4 linked regions of the Saccharomyces cerevisiae S288C genome follow. The protein of the gene in region 4 interacts with the protein of the main gene of each other region in a biochemical or structural test. Each region holds a gene or a part of one and is shown on either strand. Other genes may lie near its edges. The genes, in order: SEC22, SLY1, BET1 and SED5.

Region 1 (2,855 bases), 480 kb from region 4:
CAAGAATATTCGTTTTCACAATTATATAAAACTGGAGTGGAGCGGCCATCTTGAGAGGGTCTTCTCACGGTTTCGTCAAATAGAAAGTGCGTCTTTTCAGCCGTGATAATAGCATCCTTGTTGTCAATGGTTCCCAATAAGGACATAACTTTGGTTTGAGGGTTGGAATCGAGGACACTAACAAATTGGAATCTCTTGATCAATGAAGCAAAATCTGTTGGCAGTTGAGACATGGTATATGCTAATTTTGTCGTTTCGCTTTCTTTTTTTTTCCAGGAATTATAACTTAATACTATGTGATTATTTAGTTAATACACAGACAGTTAATAGAGTAGTGATGGCAATTCGATCATCCAAAAGAGTTGGAAAGCCTCTTTTCCTTCGATATATAGTGATGATATCCTTGAAAAGACTCCCTAAAAAGTGCAGGTGCGGCGGGTCACCTGCCAGCTTGCCTGAAAAATACGTAATTATGTCAAATAAATTGCCATACTATACTAATACTGAACTAGACTATGTTATACACTTGGACCAAATTGATCGGGATTTGTGATGTGGGATGATGGGGTGACGTCTATTTGAGGAAGATCCACCAGAAGAGAAAGACGAAAAAGAAAGCGACAATGACAATAGGAGCATATTGACTGATCAAGAGATCGAAGTTGATCTTTTGCGCGGACTTTCTGTACCTTTTGGATGTTTCTTTCAAAGAAGAACTCATGTCACTCATTTTATCGAGAGAATCTCCCCTGTAAAGTAGGTCTTCGATGTTCTTGGACATGATTTGCTTGACACCTACAAGCTCTTGGTTTAGTTGGTCCAAATTGTCCTGAACTTTCTTATCACTGTATGACTTTTTTGTCATCTGTAGAAAGTTATCAAAGTTTACAAACTGGTATGGTCTTACGGTAGGCTTGGGGTACTCATTAGCAAATGAGTGTTCAAATTCTTGCGCTATATCGTTAAGGTATGAGAATGCTAAGTTTCTTGGGTATCCAGATTCGCAAATGACGAAGTAGTACACCATGGATTTCTTCAAATAATGGATCTCAAAGGAGCCACTTTCCAAAGTAGCCTCCGTGGCAGACTGTGGTGTCAATCTGGAAACGACGATTTTCACCTTTTGCTTTTGTTCAAATAATGAGGGATCATTTTCGTTGTCCACAGACGTACAAAGAGGCAGCCCATCTTCTCTGTAGATTAGTGTTGACTTTATCATCCCTACTTAATTGTGAGTGTGTAACGGGGTGTCACTGTCAGGGTTTTTGTTGGTTTTGGGTAATAATAGGTTGTAGATATATTATATTACATGGGCTCTACTTGTTTATCTTCTATGGTAGAAAAAGACCGAAAAATGAAAACAAAAAGCGTTGAGGATTTATTGCTAAAAAAAAATTCGTTTATGACGTCTCTTATTAGATAAATCAAGTGATAACTAGAGAAATTTATTTAATTATATATGCTAGTACAACACGTTTGGTTGAAAATTAGACCTCAAACCACGACAAACTTCTGTCTTATATCGAAGAAAGTTGGGAAACTCTCCCGCAGGTCCAGATTTGGTAAATGGTCTTGTAGGTTACTGATATTAAGAACGTAGTTAGAGTCGTCCTCTAATTGAGCAAATCCCAATTTCTTGCATTGTGGTAGTTCATTCCATGAAGTGAACTCTATACAACTCATATCATTTGACGCTTGTTTTTGGTGTTGGGTGGTGTCGCAAAGGGTATTGTTGATGAACAGTTCCTGCAGATTTGGTAGGTAAAATCCCTGGATTCGGATGGATGAACATTTTTCAATACGTATGATTTTGACAGTGAGCGATCTTAAAGAGTTGTTCTTCAAGCAAATCATTGGCCTCTTTAAATGGTGTCTTTGTTTGAAGGTATCATCGCTAAATGAAGAAGTAAAGGGGATCCAGTTGATTATTTGAGTTTTTTCTACCCCCTCAGGTATCAACTTGACTCTGAAATAGCAAGTACCATCGTTGGTTTCGTTAATTGCCATTTCTTGCAAAATTTTAATGTTTCCCCTCAATGATTTGATGTACCTTTCTGGTGAACCTGAAAATGTTGTTTCGTCATACTTGAATTTGTGCCCAGTGAATTCTTTAATCTTGGGCATTGACCAATTTTTCAAAGAGTGCAACTGAAAGAGGAAATTTATCGAGATATTCTCACTTAAACATTTGTTTAGAACATATGAAGATAAATCTATGAAGTTACAACATTGGGTAATCTCATTATTGTTTGGGTAGGTAGACATCTTAATAAAATTCAAGGTAACCAAATTAGGGAAGCTGATATGAAAATTGTTGAAGAATTGTTGCAAGATCGACTTGATAATTAAAGCTGCTACTGTCGTTGTCGAGTTTAAATTTAAATTTTTATCCACGTCAAACTCATTGTTCCTTTCAAATGTTTTTATCTTTGTTGTTAGTTTATGCAGTATCGAATTAAAGAATGAATCAAGGGCCATATAATCCAAATTCAATGTTTCAACAAAGGGAAAACAGATTTTCTTGCAAATGGGGGGTCTTTTCTTCCCCTTTTCGTTAGTCTTAGAAAAGAAGTTTCTATAGTTTTTATTAATCAGCTGAAAAATATCGGGATCAAAAATCCCAAAGAAATTTTGATCCGAATAGATATTTGAATCCACGAAGTCCAGATACAATGTGTTAATATCAATATCTGCGACTATGTTCGCAATATGTAATTTTTCCAAAGGTGAATAAAACGAACTCTTTATATTGCGAACACAGAATACGAACTCGATTATGTTTGAATTGGAATTCGCCAAGGGGAAGAAGGTTTCTATGAGTTTCAAATCTGAGAATTCGTCAAATATAACAATAA
Region 2 (4,569 bases), on a different chromosome or scaffold from region 4:
TGGAAAAGGTAAAGGTTAAGGGTGTGGAAGCAGTGAGAAGCAGAAGATTATAATATAAGTAGAGTAGAAGCATGTCATTGCAATTGTTGAATCCGAAGGCTGAATCGTTGAGAAGGGATGCGGCTTTGAAGGTTAACGTCACATCTGCTGAGGGCTTACAATCCGTCCTAGAGACCAACTTGGGCCCTAAGGGCACGCTAAAGATGCTTGTGGATGGTGCTGGTAACATCAAGCTGACCAAGGACGGTAAAGTGTTGCTGACCGAGATGCAGATCCAGTCGCCTACAGCGGTACTGATTGCTAGGGCAGCTGCCGCGCAGGATGAAATCACGGGCGATGGGACCACGACGGTTGTGTGTCTTGTGGGTGAATTGCTTAGACAAGCGCACCGTTTCATTCAAGAGGGCGTGCATCCGCGGATCATCACTGATGGGTTTGAGATTGCGCGGAAGGAGTCCATGAAATTTTTGGACGAATTCAAGATCAGTAAGACGAACCTTTCCAATGATAGAGAGTTCCTTCTGCAAGTGGCCCGGTCGTCGCTGCTAACCAAGGTGGACGCTGACTTGACGGAGGTCTTGACGCCCATTGTAACGGATGCGGTGCTAAGCGTGTACGACGCGCAGGCTGACAATTTGGATTTACACATGGTTGAGATCATGCAGATGCAGCACTTGTCTCCTAAAGATACCACTTTTATTAAGGGTTTGGTATTGGACCACGGTGGTAGGCATCCTGACATGCCCACCCGTGTGAAGAACGCGTATGTTTTGATTTTGAACGTATCTTTGGAATACGAGAAGACTGAAGTTAACTCTGGGTTCTTTTACAGTTCTGCGGACCAAAGGGACAAGTTGGCCGCTAGTGAGAGGAAGTTTGTGGATGCCAAGTTGAAGAAGATCATCGACTTGAAAAACGAAGTTTGTGGCATGGATCCAGACAAGGGTTTTGTTATCATTAACCAAAAAGGCATTGACCCCATGTCTTTAGACGTGTTTGCCAAACACAACATCTTGGCTTTGAGAAGGGCCAAGAGACGTAACATGGAAAGATTGCAATTGGTCACTGGCGGTGAAGCTCAGAACTCTGTGGAAGACTTGTCGCCTCAGATTCTTGGGTTTTCTGGCTTGGTCTACCAAGAAACCATAGGCGAGGAAAAATTCACATACGTTACAGAGAACACTGACCCCAAGTCTTGCACCATCTTAATCAAGGGCTCCACTCATTATGCCCTCGCTCAAACAAAGGATGCGGTGAGAGATGGTCTCAGAGCTGTGGCAAACGTTCTCAAGGACAAAAACATCATTCCAGGCGCTGGTGCGTTCTACATCGCCCTTTCGAGATACCTAAGATCTGCCAACATGAACAAGTTGGGTGCCAAGGGTAAAACAAAGACAGGTATTGAGGCGTTCGCAGAAGCATTGCTGGTAATTCCAAAGACTTTGGTGAAGAACTCAGGATTCGACCCATTGGACGTGCTCGCAATGGTGGAGGACGAGTTGGATGACGCTCAGGATTCTGACGAAACGAGATATGTTGGTGTGGACTTGAACATAGGTGATTCTTGCGACCCTACCATCGAGGGTATTTGGGATTCCTACCGCGTACTAAGAAATGCTATTACCGGTGCTACAGGTATTGCCAGCAACTTGTTATTATGCGATGAATTGTTAAGGGCAGGTAGATCCACTTTGAAAGAAACACCACAGTAATAAAAAATAATAATAATAATAATAATAACAAGAACACGAATACTAGTAGTAATAGTAGTCAGATACAAAAATTCTATGTAACATATTTTTTCCAGTCACTATCATCATCATCATATTTTGTATATATACATTTATTATATAAAATATCATACCAATTTTTGCCAAAGAACACCGTTTCCCTCTTCGCGTTGACCACAGTAATTGCAGAAACGACAAAAAAAAAACAAAAAAAAGAAGCACCATTCTAACTCAGCCTTTAATAACCTGACATGATAACTTATAATAGTCATTGCCAGTTGCTAAGTATCTTTGACCAAAAATCACAACATCATGGCTGTGGAGGAAATTGCGTCCCGCAAGGACATTAGTTTAAGAGATATGCAAATCTCTGCCATATTAAAAATGCTGTTTTTAAATAAGGATTTGAACAACAACGACAACATCACCACCATCACAGACGATATTTTTAACCAGCAGGAGATCATCTGGAAGGTGTTGATACTGGACATCAAGAGCACTGCTACCATATCTTCTGTTCTCAGAGTCAATGACCTGCTGAAAGCTGGTATCACCGTTCATTCCTTGATTAAACAAGACAGATCTCCCTTGCCAGATGTCCCTGCCATATATTTCGTCTCCCCCACAAAGGAAAACATTGACATTATAGTCAATGACTTGAAAAGCGACAAGTATTCTGAATTTTACATCAACTTTACCTCATCTCTGCCCAGAAACCTCCTGGAAGATTTGGCTCAACAAGTCTCCATCACGGGTAAATCTGATAAAATCAAACAAGTTTACGACCAATACCTGGACTTCATTGTAACTGAACCGGAACTGTTCTCACTAGAAATTTCAAACGCATACTTGACATTGAATGACCCGAAAACCACAGAAGAGGAAATCACGGGCTTATGCGCCAACATCGCGGACGGTTTATTCAACACTGTCTTAACGATCAATTCTATCCCCATTATAAGAGCAGCTAAGGGTGGGCCTGCTGAGATCATCGCTGAGAAACTGGGTACAAAATTACGTGATTTCGTCATCAATACCAATTCCTCCTCCACTTCCACTTTGCAGGGAAATGATTCTCTGGAAAGAGGAGTGTTGATTATTTTGGATAGAAACATAGATTTTGCCTCCATGTTTTCACATTCGTGGATTTATCAGTGCATGGTCTTTGATATTTTCAAATTATCAAGAAACACCGTTACTATTCCACTTGAAAGTAAGGAAAACGGAACTGACAATACCACCGCAAAACCATTAGCCACGAAAAAATATGATATAGAGCCAAACGATTTTTTTTGGATGGAAAACTCTCATTTGCCATTCCCAGAAGCTGCAGAGAACGTTGAAGCGGCATTGAATACGTACAAGGAGGAAGCCGCAGAAATTACTAGGAAAACTGGTGTTACCAACATATCAGATTTGGACCCAAACTCGAATAATGATACGGTTCAAATTCAGGAAGTCGTAAAGAAACTGCCAGAGTTAACAGCTAAGAAAAATACTATTGATACACATATGAATATTTTTGCTGCATTGTTGTCACAATTGGAAAGTAAAAGTCTTGATACTTTCTTTGAAGTTGAACAAGACCCTGGAAGCACCAAAACAAGATCTAGGTTTTTGGATATACTAAAAGATGGTAAGACAAACAATCTTGAGGACAAACTGAGATCGTTTATTGTTCTTTACTTGACATCAACGACAGGCTTACCAAAGGATTTTGTCCAAAATGTGGAAAACTATTTCAAGGAAAACGATTACGATATCAATGCTTTAAAATATGTTTATAAGCTAAGAGAGTTCATGCAATTATCAAATATGTCGTTACAAAATAAATCTTTGGAAGATGGATCCGATTCCGCTTTCAAACCAAGCAACTTAACATTATCCGGTATCTATGGCTTAACTGAAGGCAAATTACAAGGAGGTGTAGGAAGTTTAATATCAGGTATTAAGAAGTTACTGCCTGAAAAGAAAACCATCCCGATAACAAATGTTGTTGATGCGATAATGGACCCTTTAAACAGCTCTCAAAAAAATTTGGAGACTACTGACAGTTACCTATACATCGACCCAAAAATTACAAGGGGTTCCCATACCAGAAAGCCAAAAAGACAATCTTATAATAAGTCACTAGTGTTTGTAGTTGGTGGCGGTAACTACCTAGAATATCAAAACCTCCAAGAATGGGCACATTCCCAGTTGCATAATCCCAAAAAAGTCATGTATGGTAGCACAGCCATTACCACACCAGCTGAATTCTTAAATGAGATTTCTCGCCTTGGCGCAAGTAATAGCAGCAACAACGATGCATAATTGGCATCTAGCCCCAATGACGATACACTAATATATATATATATATATATATCTATATATCTGCAAGAAATAAGCGTGTGTAGTAAGTAAAAGGAAAAATAGAAATTTTTGCTCAAAAATAACGGTCCCATTTTGATACAATGTTTTTGGTTTAGTGATTTGCGTAATATTTATTTTTATTTATGAAATGTGCTTTAGGCTTTCTTCACTGTTACAAATAATTTGCGGAAGTTTCTAAAATCTTTGTTGACCTTTTGGCATCCAAAAACAGCAATTTGGCTTCATTAACGTCATTAACAACAATTTCCTTACGATTGCTTGTTTGTGCTAGGATACCACATGGTGCCAATAATTGTAAAGCGTAACGTAACGAAGTTTCTGTACCCATCGTGGCTAAAAGGTCCAATGCGCTACTTTCTACTTGCAATCTTTCAACGGTAGCTCTTCTCTCTATAATGGTACGGATCTCGTCCTTGTCATATGGTAATGTACGAACAATTAACAATCTATCGATCAAATCAGGTGG
Region 3 (2,795 bases), on a different chromosome or scaffold from region 4:
GAGAAGAATTTTTTTAGAAAATATGGTATTACTGGAGAATATAAAATTGGTGATGTGATTATCATTGATAAATCAAATAATTACTACTACAATAAAGATAATTTTGGCAACTCCTTGACTTCTAACAACCCTCAATTGCTGAGAGAAGCATTCGTGTCCTTAAATATTCCATCAAAAGCTCTATACAGCTCTAAGTTGAAGGGGAGATTGATAAATTCTCCATTCCATAATGTCCTCAGTTTCCTAGACATAATCCACGGGAACGGCATGCCCGGTTACTTAATTGTTATTGTTTTGTTTATCGCAATACTCAAAGGTCCATCTATTTACAGAAGATACAAAGTAAGGAAACACTATAGGGCGAAAAGGAACGCTGTCGGTATCCTAGGAAATATGGAGAAAAAAAAAAATCAAGATTAAACGCTTAAGTAGTTATAAAAATAAAAGAATGCTGATATCTTATGATGCTATCATAACTATCCTTTATTTCACGTATCAATATCTACAATCATCTAACAAACGTCGCTCTTATTTTGTCACTTAGGTTTAATGTACAATATGCAAATATTTATGTAATCCATACCCAAAAAAATAGCACGCCTACCATAAAAAATATTATTAACCATGTTTTTATACTGATCCCAGATCTTCTGGCCATCTCCATCATGTTTCCAAAAGTCCTTTTGAGTTTTACAGAAGTGTTATGGAAAGTATCACCAAGCTGGTCAATAGTTTGATTGCTGCCTCTAATCTCATCACCCATCTTCAACGATAATGACTTGAGTGCTTTTATTCTCTGACCCATAGCTCCCATCTGTTCCTCACTTTGAGATTCAAGAGATGCCAAAGTACTTTGGGAGTAGTCTAATTTATCTGTGCTCCCTAGCGCTGATGATACATTGTCATCGAGACTATTTGATCCATCAGCCGGTCCGAATAACTGTGTTCTACCAGTATCACGTTGATAAGCGTTTCCCCCTGCAAATCTATATACACACGCTATAGTTAGTAAACGAAGTTCACTCGTGGTCAATAACTCCCAATATCGAGGTGTTATGGTAGATGTTTAACAAAAAGCGCTACTCTAACTTTAGAATAGTCTAATAATTTCTCATACCTTGAACTCATCTGTGTAGCCTAGTGTTGTGAGGCTCTTCAATCACATTTTCTAACACATTCACAGTCTCAAGTGAACTACTGTTTGTTTTCTACCATTCCTTGGCAAAAGGCGCGAGTTGAAAAAACTCCATTTTTAACAACTACTGGATACTTTCGCAATTTAAAATTAATGGAAGAAAGAGCCGTGAACGTTCCTACGTAGCTTGCAACAACGGTAGAGTAGTATCCGCCAATTAGCATGCATAAATTTCATCTGAGATAGTGCAACATTATAAAAAATCACTAATACTTTCCCTGATATGTCGCCCCTTCAAATTTTTTGCACGCCACATCGATAAGAGTGAAACATATCCCTGAACAGTAACCTAGAATGTACAGAAATAACTGGAAATACAATTACAAAGCGATAATTACGGGATCTTTGGTTCCTATCACAGAGTAAACACCATGGGTTTATTAGATATTATTTGGAAGAATCACATTAGACGGCTCATCGCGCAAGTAATAGCAAAATGGAAAGAAATCGGAAGGCTTCATTAGTCATGAACGTTTTACACCATCAAAATGAAAACTATACACATGCGTCGAGGAGCACCCAAAACTAATACGACTATTACAATTAAGCATGGAGGAACAGGAGATAGGCGTTCCTGCGGCCTCTTTGGCAGGAATAAAACATATCATATTGATCCTTTCCGGAAAAGGTGGTGTCGGTAAAAGTTCGGTAACGACACAGACTGCGCTGACTCTTTGCAGTATGGGCTTCAAAGTTGGAGTTTTAGATATTGATTTAACAGGGCCATCCTTACCGAGGATGTTTGGCCTAGAGAACGAATCTATATATCAAGGTCCTGAAGGTTGGCAACCTGTGAAAGTGGAGACAAACTCTACTGGCTCTCTTAGTGTAATATCATTGGGGTTTCTACTAGGTGATAGAGGGAACAGCGTGATATGGAGGGGTCCTAAGAAGACTTCTATGATAAAACAATTCATCTCTGACGTCGCCTGGGGTGAACTGGATTACTTACTGATCGATACCCCTCCGGGAACGTCGGATGAACATATATCGATTGCAGAGGAGCTGAGATATTCCAAACCAGATGGTGGTATTGTAGTAACTACCCCACAGAGTGTTGCAACAGCTGATGTCAAAAAAGAAATCAATTTCTGCAAGAAGGTCGATTTAAAGATCCTCGGTATAATTGAAAACATGTCAGGGTTTGTATGCCCGCATTGTGCTGAGTGTACAAATATCTTTTCCAGTGGGGGTGGTAAAAGATTATCGGAGCAATTTTCTGTCCCATACCTTGGTAACGTTCCTATAGATCCAAAATTTGTAGAAATGATTGAGAATCAAGTTTCAAGTAAAAAAACGCTTGTAGAAATGTACAGAGAATCATCTCTTTGTCCCATTTTTGAAGAAATAATGAAGAAACTGAGGAAACAAGACACTACAACCCCTGTTGTGGATAAACACGAGCAACCCCAGATAGAATCTCCAAAATAAGATCCTCTCCTATGCATGTACGTATATATATATATATGTGTGTGTGTGTGTTTATATACACTTATATTTTGATCCTTGGGCCTAGAAATAAATTTCGATTCCTATTTCGATTCCTATATCGAAAGGTGGTTAGAAGCTAACCGGCAACTGCAGCATGTTCTTCAAGTGG
Region 4 (3,394 bases):
ATTAATGTTTTCTTACTGTTTAATGCGATGTACATATTGTCAATACTAATGGTCACCACTGGAAATGGCTATCTTTCGTCTTCGTGAATAACGATCGCCGAGAGTCGGACCGAGTGAGTCAGCGTGATCGGCCTCATTTACCTTGTCGCCTTGCACGTCGGTATATAAACGTATGTGGATACTTTAAGAAGGGAAAGCGCAACCGTCCAAATTCTAATGAACAAAAGAACACAGGAATACAAGAACACAAGAGCGATAATGTCTGCCACTCTGTTCAATAACATCGAATTGCTGCCCCCTGATGCCCTTTTTGGTATTAAGCAAAGGTACGGGCAAGATCAACGTGCTACCAAGGTCGACTTGGGTATCGGGGCCTACAGAGACGACAACGGTAAACCATGGGTCTTGCCAAGTGTTAAAGCCGCCGAAAAGCTAATTCATAACGACAGCTCCTACAACCATGAATACCTCGGTATTACCGGTCTGCCAAGTTTGACATCTAACGCCGCCAAGATCATCTTCGGTACGCAATCCGATGCCTTTCAGGAAGACAGAGTAATCTCAGTACAATCACTGTCTGGTACGGGTGCTCTTCATATATCTGCGAAGTTTTTTTCAAAATTCTTCCCAGATAAACTGGTCTATTTGTCTAAGCCTACTTGGGCCAACCACATGGCCATTTTTGAGAATCAAGGCTTGAAAACGGCGACTTACCCTTACTGGGCCAACGAAACTAAGTCTTTGGACCTAAACGGCTTTCTAAATGCTATTCAAAAAGCTCCAGAGGGCTCCATTTTCGTTCTGCACTCTTGCGCCCATAACCCAACTGGTCTGGACCCTACTAGTGAACAATGGGTTCAAATCGTTGATGCTATCGCCTCAAAGAACCACATCGCCTTATTTGACACCGCCTACCAAGGGTTTGCCACTGGAGATTTGGACAAGGATGCCTATGCTGTGCGTCTAGGTGTGGAGAAGCTTTCAACGGTCTCTCCCGTCTTTGTCTGTCAGTCCTTTGCCAAGAACGCCGGTATGTACGGTGAGCGTGTAGGTTGTTTCCATCTAGCACTTACAAAACAAGCTCAAAACAAAACTATAAAGCCTGCTGTTACATCTCAATTGGCCAAAATCATTCGTAGTGAAGTGTCCAACCCACCCGCCTACGGCGCTAAGATTGTCGCTAAACTGTTGGAAACGCCAGAATTAACGGAACAGTGGCACAAGGATATGGTTACCATGTCCTCCAGAATTACGAAAATGAGGCACGCATTAAGAGACCATTTAGTCAAGTTGGGCACTCCTGGCAACTGGGATCATATAGTAAATCAATGCGGGATGTTCTCCTTTACAGGATTGACTCCTCAAATGGTTAAACGACTTGAAGAAACCCACGCAGTTTACTTGGTTGCCTCAGGTAGAGCTTCTATTGCTGGATTGAATCAAGGAAACGTGGAATACGTGGCTAAAGCCATTGATGAAGTGGTGCGCTTCTATACTATTGAAGCTAAATTGTAATGATTAAATAATACTTATACTTACCTATTACACTCTTCATATTTTTTTTAATGTAAAGAAAGTAAAAAAAAAAAAAAATAAAAAAAAGAGAAATGCTCTTTCTTTACCTTCACAGGTGTATTATTATGTTGTTGTAATATCCGGGTAGGTTTATTGATCGAGGCGAGGCGAAAGGGCATATTCGAAACAATCATTATGATAATAATGTCAATATAGAAATTGAAAAAAAAAAAAAAATCCTACCGCCGCATCGACGCTCCTGTTAGACCTTTGAACGGAAATCACCCACTCTTTACTGTATATATTTTATTCCACCTCTGTTTCCAACGACCATTTCACCATACCACACAACTCCCATGAACATAAAGGATAGAACTTCAGAATTTCAACAAAGTGTGTTGAGTTACAAGAAAAGAAACAAAAACTTTAGAGAACAGCAGAGGGAACGTCTACAAGAGAAAGAAAGTGAAAACTTTGCCAACAACACAACCGGCAATGGGAAAAGTGTCTCTGAGTTTCAAAAAAAGGCTTCTGGCATAGCTCACGAAATTTCATCCACCGCACAATTATTATCGAAATTAGCAGTGCTGGCCAAAAGGAAACCGATGTTCAATGACAACCCTGTAGAGATTGCCGAGCTATCATTTTTGATCAAAAGGAAGATTTATGCCATCGAACAAAGTTTAGTGCAATTAAGTCAGCTCAAGAAAACCGACGTGAATGGCAACACATCAAATCAATCTTCTAAGCAACCTAGTGCCGTACAGCACTCCAAAAATGTCGTAAATCTTTTAAACACGCAAATGAAAAACATATCAGGAAGTTTTAAAGACGTATTGGAGGAAAGGCAACGACTAGAAATGGCTAACAAAGACAGATGGCAAAAACTAACCACCGACACTGGACATGCACCAGCTGATGACCAAACGCAAAGCAATCACGCCGCGGACTTGACCACGTATAACAACTCCAACCCATTCATGACCTCACTACTAGATGAATCCTCAGAAAAGAATAACAACTCGTCCAACCAAGGAGAACTGTCTTTCCCTCAAAACGACTCTCAACTAATGTTAATGGAAGAGGGACAGTTATCCAATAACGTCTACTTACAAGAAAGAAATAGGGCGGTGGAGACAATAGAATCCACAATCCAGGAAGTGGGAAATCTCTTCCAACAACTGGCCTCCATGGTTCAAGAACAGGGCGAAGTAATCCAAAGGATTGATGCAAACGTAGACGACATCGATTTAAACATTAGTGGTGCTCAAAGGGAACTTTTGAAATACTTCGACAGGATAAAGAGTAATAGATGGTTAGCCGCAAAGGTTTTTTTTATAATCTTTGTATTTTTCGTTATTTGGGTTTTAGTCAATTAAAAGCAAAGTAAAAGAAAAAAAGATACATATTTGATTATTTATTTTTTTTCCTTCTCTCATCTTTTCTGTACAATAATATAGCAATAACAGATAAAAATAATGAATGCACATTCCCTTCTATACCTATGAACGCAAAAAAAAAAGACAACAAAAAAATAAAAACTATTAATTATGACTTAGCATTATGAACTTCATGTATATAAAAGAGCGTATACAGAACATGGAAAGTAAGAACACCTTTTTTTTTTCTTTCATCTAAACCGCATAGAACACGTTCAAAGCCCCATTTCTGCTTGTAGTTCTCTTAATGCTTTTTCATCTTCATCTTCTTCATCCTCTTCCTCTTCCCCGTCCTTCACAGAGTTCTCACTTTGTTTAATTTTATTACTTGGAACACTAGGTAGTGAGACTTTGTTCTCTGAGATAGGCGCCGCATTAACATTATTATTAACGATCTTGGACGTTTCTTGGTTAGCATTTTCTTGAGCCAGCATGTCCAA

Evidence for each region.
Region 1: the proteins of SED5 (region 4) and SEC22 form a complex in vitro, tested with the Saccharomyces cerevisiae proteins (5 studies listed by BioGRID).
Region 2: the proteins of SED5 (region 4) and SLY1 form a complex in vitro, tested with the Saccharomyces cerevisiae proteins (7 studies listed by BioGRID, with this or other methods).
Region 3: the proteins of SED5 (region 4) and BET1 form a complex in vitro, tested with the Saccharomyces cerevisiae proteins (4 studies listed by BioGRID).

Annotation. Positions count from the first base shown.
Region 1 is NC_001144.5:678,564-681,418, reverse strand, and holds SEC22 (SNAP receptor SEC22), read right to left. Parts: upstream 1,220-2,855; coding exon 575-1,219; downstream 1-574. Other genes in the region: DCS1 (5'-(N(7)-methyl 5'-triphosphoguanosine)-(mRNA) diphosphatase), read right to left, coding at 1-233; BOP2 (Bop2p), read right to left, coding at 1,495-2,855. UniProt on the Saccharomyces cerevisiae protein: Nonessential SNARE involved in targeting and fusion of ER-derived transport vesicles with the Golgi complex as well as Golgi-derived retrograde transport vesicles with the ER.
Region 2 is NC_001136.10:836,350-840,918, forward strand, and holds SLY1 (syntaxin-binding protein), read left to right. Parts: upstream 1-2,042; coding exon 2,043-4,043; downstream 4,044-4,569. Other genes in the region: chaperonin-containing T-complex subunit CCT6, read left to right, coding at 72-1,712; RVB1 (RuvB family ATP-dependent DNA helicase pontin), read right to left, coding at 4,255-4,569. UniProt on the Saccharomyces cerevisiae protein: Able to suppress the functional loss of YPT1. SLY1 is essential for cell viability. May interact indirectly, or directly with YPT1.
Region 3 is NC_001141.2:347,378-350,172, forward strand, and holds BET1 (Bet1p), read right to left. Parts: upstream 1,129-2,795; coding exon 1,118-1,128; intron 987-1,117; coding exon 569-986; downstream 1-568. Other genes in the region: protein disulfide isomerase EPS1, read left to right, coding at 1-420; iron-sulfur cluster assembly protein CFD1, read left to right, coding at 1,745-2,626. UniProt on the Saccharomyces cerevisiae protein: SNARE required for targeting and fusion of ER-derived transport vesicles with the Golgi complex.
Region 4 is NC_001144.5:194,950-198,343, reverse strand, and holds SED5 (t-SNARE syntaxin), read left to right. Parts: upstream 1-1,871; coding exon 1,872-2,894; downstream 2,895-3,394. Other genes in the region: aspartate transaminase AAT2, read left to right, coding at 259-1,515; ESCRT-III subunit protein SNF7, read right to left, coding at 3,170-3,394. UniProt on the Saccharomyces cerevisiae protein: Required for vesicular transport between the endoplasmic reticulum and the Golgi complex. Acts as a target organelle soluble NSF attachment protein receptor (t-SNARE).